Linked DNA regions of Diceros bicornis minor. The protein of the gene in region 1 interacts with the protein of each later gene in a pairwise test. Links are inferred from orthologs where the notes say so. Each region holds a gene or a part of one and is shown in the gene's direction. Other genes may lie near its edges.

What was found. The genes of interacting proteins can lie anywhere in the genome.
Region 2: the proteins of C13H1orf94 (region 1) and VENTX interact in binary tests that used the Homo sapiens proteins (3 or more experiments, as listed by UniProt). The two-hybrid records come from large-scale screens. The link is inferred for Diceros bicornis minor from reciprocal best matches to the Homo sapiens genes C1orf94 and VENTX.
Region 3: the proteins of C13H1orf94 (region 1) and RBFOX1 interact in binary tests that used the Homo sapiens proteins (3 or more experiments, as listed by UniProt). The link is inferred for Diceros bicornis minor from reciprocal best matches to the Homo sapiens genes C1orf94 and RBFOX1.

Annotation. Positions count from the first base shown.
Region 1 is NC_080752.1:48,636,855-48,640,598, forward strand, and holds the start of C13H1orf94 (uncharacterized protein C1orf94 homolog), read left to right. Parts: upstream 1-1,559; coding exon 1,560-1,888; intron 1,889-3,744.
Region 2 is NC_080745.1:95,298,078-95,301,821, forward strand, and holds the start of VENTX (homeobox protein VENTX), read left to right. Parts: upstream 1-1,497; 5' UTR 1,498-1,962; exon of another isoform or gene 1,963-2,094; 5' UTR 2,095-2,771; coding exon 2,772-3,009; intron 3,010-3,744. UniProt on the Homo sapiens protein: May be involved in ventralization.
Region 3 is NC_080765.1:41,860,411-41,864,154, reverse strand, and holds the start of RBFOX1 (RNA binding protein fox-1 homolog 1), read left to right. Parts: upstream 1-1,064; coding exon 1,065-1,163; intron 1,164-3,744. UniProt on the Homo sapiens protein: RNA-binding protein that regulates alternative splicing events by binding to 5'-UGCAUGU-3' elements. Regulates alternative splicing of tissue-specific exons and of differentially spliced exons during erythropoiesis.

The DNA of each region.
Region 1 (3,744 bases):
CTTCATCTATGGACTGTCATATCGTCTATTCGCGGCCATTCTTCTTTCTTCTTTCCCGTCCTCTTGCTCTTCCTTTTCTGGGGAAACACCGGAGGAACAACCACTGACTCCTGTGGCCAGAGAGCCCCGGGCAGGCGGAGGGTCAGTTCCGAGATTAACGGAGCCTCTCCAGTGACGGGGGGAGCCCGCTGGGCAGCAAACCCTAAGTCAGCCCTTCTCTCTGCACCTCGGCCCTCGACCTCCCCTGCTACCGCGCCGCCCACCCCGGCACCCGCTGACCTCTGCGCAGGGGGGAACGGTCTATCTCAGCGGCTGAGAGCGGGATCAGGCCTGTGGGCCCGGGTTTGAATCCCAGCTCCCCACTTCCTTGTGGGCCGTGGAGACACCCCTTTAGGACTCTGAACTCGGTTTCCTCTAATGGACAACGACAATAAACAATGGTACTAACTTCATGAGCTCGTTAGGATTCAACATGACCACACAGGAAGCCCAGCACTTGGCACAGGGTAAGCGCCCAGTGAAATGGCAGTTGGGGTAAAAACAGGGGAGCCAGGGGCAGGGCCCCGCAGGGCTGAGGTTTGGGCGGAGTGGCGGCGGAGCGAGGCGGGGCGCGGCGCCCTCGGCTTCTAACAGGGGAAGGCGCTCTGGGGTCCTCCGGGCCCCCACCCCCACCCCGCCGGAGGGCATGGGGCACCGAACCCGCGGCGCCCCGCGCACCGAGCCGTTGCGGTTGAAACCCACAGAAGGAATTCCAGCGCTGGACGGGAAGGGTGTGGGAGCCACTGGCTCGCAAATCGATCCAAGCCGCCCGGCCCGGCCCGCCTCGCCGAGACGGCACCCTTTTAAGGCGTTGGGACCCTTCCCAGGCCAGTCCCAGGCCAGCGCGGGGGGCGCGGCAGGCGCCTGCTGGGGGCGCCGACCCCGGGGGCTGCGAGCGGCTGTGCGCTCGGCTCACTTCGTGCGGGGGCGGCCGAGCGGCGCTGGACAGGGGCCGGGAGGGGCAGCGGGGAGAGCCAGCCTGCCCGGCCGGCCGGGGCGGGGGCCGTTGGCCCTCGGAGCGCGCGGGCGTCCCTGGGAAGACCGAATGAGACTCTAATGAAGGGCTCCGGCCTGCACGGTGCCTAGCACAGCGCCAGGCGCTCACCCGGTCCTCCGCGAGGCTTAGCGGGCGAGAATGGGCTGAGCCCCAGGCGCCGCAAGGTGTCACGGGCCTGTCGCAACGGGGCAGTGCCAGGGACCGTGGGGAGAGCCCGCCCTCCCCCTCCAGCTGTTCCCAGATGTCATCCTGCCCTTCCAGGCTCCTGGTTCCTGAGCTCAGGGGGATTCCACGGTTACTAAGCTACTGGTTTTTGTTGACTTTTAAATATTTTCTTCTAAGGGAGAGGGGGAGGGGGGCAAAAGTCAGGAAAGAGCAAATAAAAGCAAATCGAAATAAGCTCCTCTCCCCAAAGGAAAGTTGTCCTCCATCCACCACTCACACACAAATCGAAGGCCTCTGAGCACACTCATCTTGCTGGAGCAACCTGCTTCTGCCCCATCCTCATTTCCCTTTTTGGTGAATGAGGGGTGGTGGTGGATGGTCCCCTTGTCTTCGAACCCTGGGTGGACAAAGGGGCTTCCGGAAAGAGAGGAGGAGGATGGCCAGTGGGAATGGGCTCCCTTCATCGTCGGCCCTGGTGGCCAAGCGCCCCTCTGCCCTGGGCCCATTCCCCAGATACATCTGGATCCACCAGGACACGCCCCAAGACAGCCTCGACAAGACTTGCCATGAAATCTGGAAGAGAGTCCAGGGCCTGCCCGAGGCCTTGCAGCCCAGGACCTCGAAGGAGCAGCTCTCTGCCCCCATGGCTGGGACTCCAGGAGACAACGTGCTCAGCTTCCAAGAAGAGTGAGTGTCCCCCAACATGGTGGGCATCAAAGGAGGAGGGAGGAGATGAGGTCTCACCTTCTGGGGGAATGTTCTGGCCCACTGTTTAGTCTGGTTCAACCCTAAAGGCTGTATACTTTTTCTCCACCCCCATGGTCCTTTGGCCAATTTTTATGGGAGAGTTAACTGGGGTCCTGAAGTTACTTGGGTGACAGGCCAGACTAGGGCTGAATTTTTGCTGCCTCTTCACCAGCCCACAAGGGGACATTTCTCATCCTTAAGTCATAGGCAACTCAGATGTAGACCTGAGAACCTTGAAAAACCACCTTAGTCAGGGCTGAGCATTAGATATCACAGTTTTCCCACAAGGCAACTAAAAGATCCTTCCCCCTCCTGCCTCCAAAGGCTAGGCATTGGCACAGATGAGTCTGGTGGTTTTAAACCACATCTGGAATTCCCTAATACAGGGAGCAGCTGTCCCATTCAGCATCCACAGAAGCTGCTGCAAGAGCACACATCAAAATATTTACTGGGAAGGCACTGACATATTCAGAGGACATAATAGAAAATTAACGTGCGGGAAGATGGCTGTAAATAGCCCATTTCCTAGTTGGGAAATCCTGTGTCTGGGAAACACAGAGCTAAGTGTTTCTCCGCCGGGGCAAAGTTGGACAGATATTGTTGGAGATGGATATTTACAAGGAGAGGAAGGAGGGACCTCGTTAGGAAAAGCAAGTGAATCCGCCATGGTTATTAATGTCACTGTTGAGCATTTGTTCAATGCTTTGCATCTTCAAAGAGGGCTGCCAGCATTAATTAATCCTCCTGAAGTCCTAGGAGGCAGGTATTAGTGTCCCCATTTTACAGATGGATTAAGTGTTAATAATTAAGTGGTAATTAAAGACTAAGTGATAATTAAGTGTTGCCTGTTCTAACACATGCTCCAGCTCAGTTCAGAGATGCTCTGGAGTAGGGGAACCATTCAGGCAATTATCAGCTGGTCTGGTTTCAGGGAATTCTATGCAAGAGCAAGAGGACAGGCAAAGGGTAACTGCCGCCCAGGTCTGCACGACCTGCCGTCCCTTTTCAGGCTCACATACTTGCTGCAGATGAAGGTGGAAGGCACCTTGGCTATTATTGCCTCCCCTGCCCTGTGCTCAGCAAGACATGGCTGGGATGGGAATGGCCTTTCTGCAGCCAAAATCCCACTGTCCGGCCCTCCAGTGGTATTGAGTCCCTCTCCCCTGCCCATTGCCATCTGCTCTGGGATGGGCCCTTGTCAGGGGGCCCGTGGGGCTGTGCTCAGCTCTCAATGGCCAAGGAGTTGATTGTCCACTTTGTGGAACAAGGGGCAGTGGCAATTTCCAGTAGATGGCACCATCTCTGCCAGGTCACACTGAGTTAATGGAGACAGCCTCTATTTCCAGTTCGCACTTGGCCGAAAAGCGACCTGGCGCACCTTTGGCCAGTTGCTTAACTCCATTTGGCCTTGATTTTTTCATCTGCAAATTGAGGATGATATGCCCTGCCTTGTCCACCTCAGAGCTGATAATGAGGATCAAATGTGATGAGAGACAGGAAATGGAGAGCTGCATTATACAAATGAGGCTGTCCCTAAGTGTAATTCTCAGGGTTCGGGGGTTTTTGTTGTTGTTGGCTTCAGTCTGGGGTTTTCACACTATGCTCATAGACCCTAGGGTGCTTCAGAGGCCACCCTAGAGTCAAGTGGCCTGATTGCTGGGCCCCATGCCCATTTCAGTCAGAGCTGTTTGGCTTTTATGGGTTTTACTTACTGGAGTTCTAAGTAAAGGCTGCGTTTGAAAAAAGAGTTTTGCTACTGAGAAAAGAGCTGGGAAACCACTGACTTAGATGAATAA
Region 2 (3,744 bases), on another chromosome or scaffold:
ACCCACTCACCGCCACCCCCACCACGCCCGTGCCGCCCGGGTACAGGTGGGAGGCGGCCCCCCCGGCGCGCAGGTGCCGCGACGTAGAGCCAGCGGCCGAGCGCCAAGGCCACGCCCGCGTGTAATCCCCGGGTCTCGGGGAAGGCGGTGGAGGGACGGTGGAGGGGCAGCGAACCCGGGGGCGCGGGTCCCAGAGCCAGGGGAGGAGCAGGCCCGGGGAGCCCTAGACGCTGCTCCGAGGCCAAGTGAGGAAGCTGAGGCTAGGCACGGGTGACATTGGCCCGAGCAGCCGGCGGAGACAGAGGGGCCCACAGTGCAGGAGGGAGGGGTGGGGAGACCCCAGTGGACACGGCCGGCCGGGTGAGGGGAGAGGGGCCTGAGCCCGTGGCAGTGCTGAAGGGAATGACCGAGGGGCCGCTGGGAGGAGGGGATCACACCAGGCAGCAGCCAGAGCTGGAGGGGAGGACACAGGAGGGAGAGGCTACTTGACCTGCTGAGGTGGGGTCACCTTGGACTCTGGAGTGGGACTCAGGTAGGGGAGGGTGTAGGCAAGGAAGCTGGGAAAGTGGAGGCCGGAGGACGTTAGAGGAGGGTCCCTGATTACGGAGCAGATGGCTGGGCAGAGCTGAGGAGGGTGCTGAGGAACGTGCGGGTGTGGAGCCAAGAGGCCAGGGGACCCGGCGGGAAAAATCAGAGGTGAAGAGACGCTAAAGCAGACTTTCCAAAGACCAGAACCTGAATGGCTGACATTTCACGAATTAACGCTGCTGAGTGCACAATGCAGTAATTTCCAACAAATGCTCCTTTGTCCGGAGGAGGCCTCTCCGGCCTGTTCTGTGCGTACTGAGCAGCCATGGGGGGGCTACTTCCCTCTGCCCGGTTTGTGAGGTACCCTCCCACCCCCGTTTGTCCCGGAGGAGCTCTGCGCAGGCCTGCACCAGCTCGGCCTCTGTCCCCAGCTAGCTGGACGGCCCCTGTCGCAGTGGTGCTAGCAGCCTGCCCCAGGGCGTCCTTGGAGGAAGCCCTGGAGCCACGCGCACCCGAGGGGACCTCACTGTCCACCTCCAGGACACCCTGCAGTTCTCGTACAAGACACCTCACCGGACACTAGGCCAGTGATTCAGATCCCAGCCTCCCCCTGCGGGGTCCGGTGATCTAACTGGGCTGGTGCAGGGGCGGGAGGAAGGCCCAGGTCAGCGGCGTTGTGGCCCTTCACACGCACGGGCGGTCAGCGCCGCCTGGTTCCCCGCTGTGCCCGCGGGGGTCCGGCTCCCACATCATCACCGGCCCCTCCCCTGCCCGAGAGGCTCAGGAGGCGGGGTCTGGGTGCTAATCCTGGGCGAGGCCGCCAGGCCTTTGATCTCCGCCGGGCCGCGTGGGCGCGGGCGGTCGTCCTTGCCCCTCCCAGCCTGGCGCCGGCGTCCCCGGGGGTCGAGGCTGCTGACTCGATCCGTTTGCACTGAAGCCCAGCCGCGCGCTCGGGTCCGGACTAGCGCTGCACCCGACTCCAGCCGCCGGGGCCGTAGCCTGGACTCCCCCCAGCCCGCGCCCCAAGGGGCGCCCAGGGCCCGCCGGGGTGGGTTTCCGCAGCACGTGTCCGTCTGCCGGGTCGCGTGCAGGAGACTGACGCTCTCCCGCGAAGGTTGTGGGGAGGCCCGGGGGAGGCACCGCCGGCCGTGGCTTGGGGCGGACGGCGTGGCGCACCTGGCTGCCTGCGCCTCCCGACGGACGCGGACGAGGCCAGTTCAGGGGTGAAGTTCAGGAGTGAAGCGGCCGCGGGGACAGGGTGACCGTCTCGAGGACACCCTCCTTAAGTTTTGGGCTCCACCGTCCCCCGGGGGCTCTGCAGTTGCCCAGCCCCAATGGGGGCAGCTGGGGCGTGGGAAGAGTGATGTCGCGTGGCTGCAGCTGAGTTCACGCCCTGAGCGAGCACACCCCCCTTCGTGTCACCCCAATCTGGAGGTAGCTCCTGGGGCACCGAGTGAAACCCAGCAGAGGGGCTGGGCGGGGGCGGTGGATGGTGAGAGAGAAGGGCCTGCAGAGCGGAGGGTCCTTCTCTGCACAGCCCCTCCCCGCCCTGTCTGGCTTGTGCAGTCTCCTTCCAGGAATGCCTGCCCTACATTCCTACCCAGCTGGACAGCCTGGACGCAGCAGACACCCGCCCTGGCCGGGCCCACTGTGTCCTGCGAGCAGCGATGCTGACGCCCCACTTGTAGCGAACTCTCCCTCACCGCGGGCACTGCAGACACACGAGGCAGGTTGGAGGACCAACCTGGAGCGAGAAGATGACCTGGCACCCCATAGGACAAGCCCCCAGGGAGGGTGCTGGGGTGGGAGGGGCCGTCCTCACCTTCCTGCAGCCTGGGCCAGCCGGGTGGGGGTGGGGGAGATGAAAGGATGTAACGAGTTCCCAACCTCCCCCAATCTCCCCTAACGCTGACCGAAGCCCCGCCCCTCCCCAGACATCTTGGAGCCGGGGGAGGTGCGAATGGCCTCCTTTGTGCCTCTGAATTGAAGGCAATTAGGTGCTACTTATCTGGGGGGGGATTTGAGCCATCTATGCAGACCTGCCTCCCAACCCTCCTTCTCCTGAGCTTATAAATGTAGCCCGGCCCTGCCAAACTGAGGCGACCCTGTGCTCAGCCCAGGCCACCTGACCAACTCTCTGCTGACGCTGCGCCCAGCCCCCACCGTCCGCCCTGCAGAGGACCCTGTACCTGGGCCCACCACCATCTATCCCCAGGATCCTGAGCAGAGCACCACGTCCAGCCATGCCTCCCTTCCCCGCCCTGCCTTGTGGCCGCAAGCCAGCCTCCAGCTTTGGCTCTGTGGCCTGGCTATCTCAGAGCAGCCATGCAGAGCAGTCGCACACCTCCAGGCCCGCTGAGGTCTCTTGGGAGAGCTTCTCTGCCCCAGCCAGGGTGTCCGGCAATGGGGAGCCCCCTCAGACCGTGGGCATGGGGGAGGTGAAGTCCTCAGAATTGTCTGCGCCAGGGACGCCCACAGCTGGTAGGTCTGGAGATGGGGGGAGGTCCCTTCCTCCCCAGATGAGGATGGGAGTTGGGGAGGGTTCAGGAGGTTGGGGGCATTCTCACTAGGGCTGGGGTTTGGGGTTTCCTGACCTCTCTGGCAAGTGAACGCTTCCCCTTGGAAGCAAAAGCCACAATGGGGGGTTTCCCTCCTCAAGCCCCTTGGGGCTCCTCTTTCCCACCCACCTCCTACAGGGGCCAGCCCCCTGCCCTCTTGCCCAGGCCTGGGCCCACCAGTCGCCACCCCCCACGTCCTCACTGTGAGCCATAACGCTGACGTTAGTGCCTTTGTGCACGTGGATTTCAGATTCTGTAAAAGTCTTCGGGACCCATTTCCACCATGAGTCACAGGGTTGTGGATAAGTGTGTCATAAAGCTTATGAAACCTGCCCAGTCCAGAGGGCTCCTTGTGGCCCCACCCGAAAAGCCGGGCCCCTTAGTTTGGCACCTAGACTTGAGTTGGAATCCTGCCGCGTTAGTTCACGGGGAGCCACGACCTAGTGACGCCGCCCTTTGCATTTCCGCATGTGTGAATTTTGGTGCCTTCTGCGTGCTCGGCTCCCGGGAGGTCTGGTGGCTCCTCAGCTCTGTCTGACCTTTTGTTCACTGCCGAGAATCCTCAGTTTTGTCTCTGTGACGTAATCATCACTTTTAGGTTTAAAGTCCAACGTGGTCAAAAATGGGGTTCTTGTTATACATAAGTTTTCATTTTTAA
Region 3 (3,744 bases), on another chromosome or scaffold:
CTGCCTGCCCAGCCAAGACGAGGCGCAGAGCGAAAGCTGCGCCCCACACGCCTGGGGGTGCATCGCCGGCCGGGCCGCCCTGCTGGGGGTGGGGGGACCCCCAGAAACCGCCCTGCCTCAGGCGCCTGCAGCCCCAGCCCCCCCTGCCCCCAGCCCCTAGCATCGTCTCAGCACTCTCACGAGGGGGAATCCCATTTCTGTGTTTATTTTCCAACGAGTCAGGCAAACAAACCGCCACCAAAATCTAAGACTCCGGGTCCCAGCTGGGCAATCGCAGTAATTGTCCAGCTCGCCTGGATGCTGGCGATGTGGGGCGCTCGCTTGCTTCCTCACCCGCCCCGCGGAGATTTTTAGCAGACACAATTTGAATTTTGGTGAGTCGTTTAAAAAAAAAATAAAAAAGGCAAAGGGGAGGGAAAAAAAAAAAAAAACAACCCTGCCCCTGGACCCATTTGACAAATGAGAAGGCACGCAGCATCAGCACCAGCCGAGTGAGCCTCAGTGTGAGTCAAAATCCCTCTCTCTCTCTCTCACTCTCTCTCTCTCTCTCTCTCTCTCTCCTCCTTTCTCCCCCTCCTTCTCTCTCTCGCCCTTAGCTTTATCCCCCCCCTCTACTCAGCATCTACAGGAGGGCATCCACCCCCTCTACCTTTCACAGAAGTTGCCTTTGCCGGTTCTTGTCATCTTCCCGGGGGCGTGGAGTGGGGGGCACCTTCCACTTTGAGGGGCATCAGAAAGTAGGCCCAATAAACCAGAGAAACGATAGCGCCACAAAGGAAACAAAATAGTTTCCTGGCCCTCTCAAGTGTCTTAGTTGGAGGCAGATGAACGCCTGGATCTAGCAAACCCTGAGGGAAGGAAAGCGAGGGAGGAGGGACGCGCGGGGTGCGGCAGCGGGGAGGGAGAGAGAGAAAGAGAGAGAGAGGAGAAAGACAGCCACCGGGTTTTGACTTAGATAATCAGCAAAATTAAAAAGAAAAAAAAAATTGTAGCGACCAGGCAAAGAGCGGCGTGATTGCATGCGAGCGTCCCCAGTCGTGCTTGGCGGGCGCCAGAGAGACACGATGCAGCATCCTCTGACGGGGGCCACCTGCGTGGCGCTCCCCAACGTGGGCATGTGTCCCCAGCTCTCGTGTGCCTTGACTTTTATGTACTTACAGCAGGTAAGGCGCGCGTCTTCCCTCGGTGGCTGCTTTCCGGGGCTCGGCGAACTCGGTACCCGCGTCGCTGGGTTGCGCTTTGGTACCTTGGAGGGGTTTGGGGAAGGGGCTCATGCTTTTGGACGGGAGGGGTGGGACCGAGCCCCTCGTTCTCTGTGGAGCCCAGACACCCCGCGCTGAGCTGTTTTTACACCTCAATGAATACTTTGAACGCCTGATTCTGAGCTTGGGTACAGGGAGTTTAAAATTGCAAACTGCATCTTCCTACCTCGCATTTTTCTCGTGACAGTGCGTCCGGTGGCGATCTGAGTCTAAGACCCTTTTGATGCTAAGAGTTATGCTAAGAGTTTGGATCTTTGTGGAGGCACTTGGGTGCCTGGAGTTTTAATTCAGCTGTTTTAATAGGGAGTGGAAAAACATATGTGTGTGTGTACGTGTGCTCCGTATTTTTGTTTTCTTAAGTTTGTCTGGGTTGTGCTATATTCAGTCCGCTTGGGATGGGAGCCTTTGGGTTTCTGGAGTGTCTCAGCCCCAGAATCTGCCTCCAAACTCACTGGTGTGCTGTGATGAAGGCGAGCAGTTTGGGATGCTGTCTTTGTTGGCATGTGTAAAGGCTTTTTTTTTCTCCTCTATTCCCTTTTAATGGTCTTGCCAGGGATTCTGTGTTTATATTCCCTTCTGTGTACATTTCAGAATCATTCATTATGTTTCTCTCTGTCTTTCTCTGGGTATTTCCCTTGGACCCTCTCTGTCTCTCTTTCCTTCTTTACTAGTAGGGCTGCAGGCTGAGTTGGTTCCTGGGCTTGGGAACCTTGTGGAGTGACAAGCCCAGCTCTGCCTCACTGGGCAGGGGCTGCGGATGTGACCGGCAGGGATAGGAGGGTTTTCTCATGCCGATGGGAATCCTTCTCCCTTCCTAGGATCAACCACCCTGCTGCATGAAGAGTTAACAGTGATTGTAGACATTTTATTTGTTTTTCGATGGACTCCCTTCCAGAGCACCATTTGTTAACTGTGTGTGGTTGGGGTTGACTAAACTTCCTCTACGAGTGTTCAGAGGGGCCTCCTTCTCCGAAGACCCTCAGTTTCAATCTGTGTTACAGGAATATATGTGTTCATAAAACGTCAATATTCTGTTTCCAACATTTGGGTAATTTGTTATCAAGTTGGTTGCCTCCAGAAAATCGCTCTTAGGTGTATTTTCTGTTGCAAGTCTTTTTGCCAACAGCCTTTTTTGTTGTTTTAATATCTTGGAAACAAATTGGTTTATCTTTTTAAATATTGTTTTATTCCATTTCTCATTAAGTAAATTGTGCCAGGAAACACTTCCCAAGAGCCTACTGGTAACATATTATATGATGCATCTGCTTCTAACATTTCTATGCCTTTTCTGTGAGTTCCCGTGTGTGTGTGTGTGTGTGTGTGTGTGAGTGTGTTTTACACCAGTTACCCACCAGAAGAGTGTCCTAATGAGCATTTCTACAGATGATAAGCCTCAGTTGGATTTAATCAAATTATTAATATTAGTTGATCATTTGCTCCCTGTATTCACTTCTTTCATGTTATTTATGAATCAGTTTGAACAGCAGTACCTAATAAATAGAATGCTATAGGTAGTCAGTGTTCTCACACTTTCTCTGTGCAATATTCTTTTTTTAATAGATCGATGTTTCCTCCTTCTAGATTGTTAAATTGGTTTGCTCATTTAGACACAACTCAGGAAAGAAGACAGGGACTCTGAGTGAGAGGTTATTCTTGCCATGAAAAGGACAAGTTTATAGGATCCATGCAGGAGTTCTCAGCATCTCCCAGGCAATCTTTTCCAGGAGGGAAAATACTCCTGCCATGGAAAGGGGAGGCTCAATGGGAATGTTAGCAGCCATGACAAATATTTAGAAATGACTAAATCAGAGTCATGGTTCTATATGAAGATAGATGGAGGTGGGTTTTTGAAATGTGCTTTGGAATGCACCCCGCTCTTGAAAGGGCTTGTCATGCTCTCAGTGGAAGTATTTGTAAGGTGATGCTGTGATAGTGTCAGAATGCGGTGTGTGTGCGTGTGCGTACGTGCATGTGTGTATTTTTCTGAGTTTCACTAAATGCCTGAAGCATAGTACAGGCAGACATTTATTTTTGTCTGTCTTATTCAGAATCAGGTTTTCTAGCCACACCTCCCATCCTTCCTAAAGGCTCACTCTCAGGGTGGGAGAGCCATACCTTCAGGTCTCTCCCAGCCATTGCTGTCATGATAGTTTGTGTAGAAGTCTCATGTCACTGCTTTTATTTAGCAGTCCAGATAATTGGCTGATTAATGGTGTGAAATAGTTCACTTCAATATCCACAAACCACTTACCGATACGATCTATACATCGTCTATACATATATTGCCACTATATTTTCTATCTGCTATTAATCTATAGCTATTATTGTATCTCTATTTAATTTTGATGATCAGAGGGCTAATATGTACTCTCAGAGTTAGTTGATCAAATGATGAATTAGGCAACATCTGTGATAAATGACACCTTCGTTGGAAACGTTTTATTATTATTTAGAAATAAACATAGTTCAGGAGTCTTTGTCA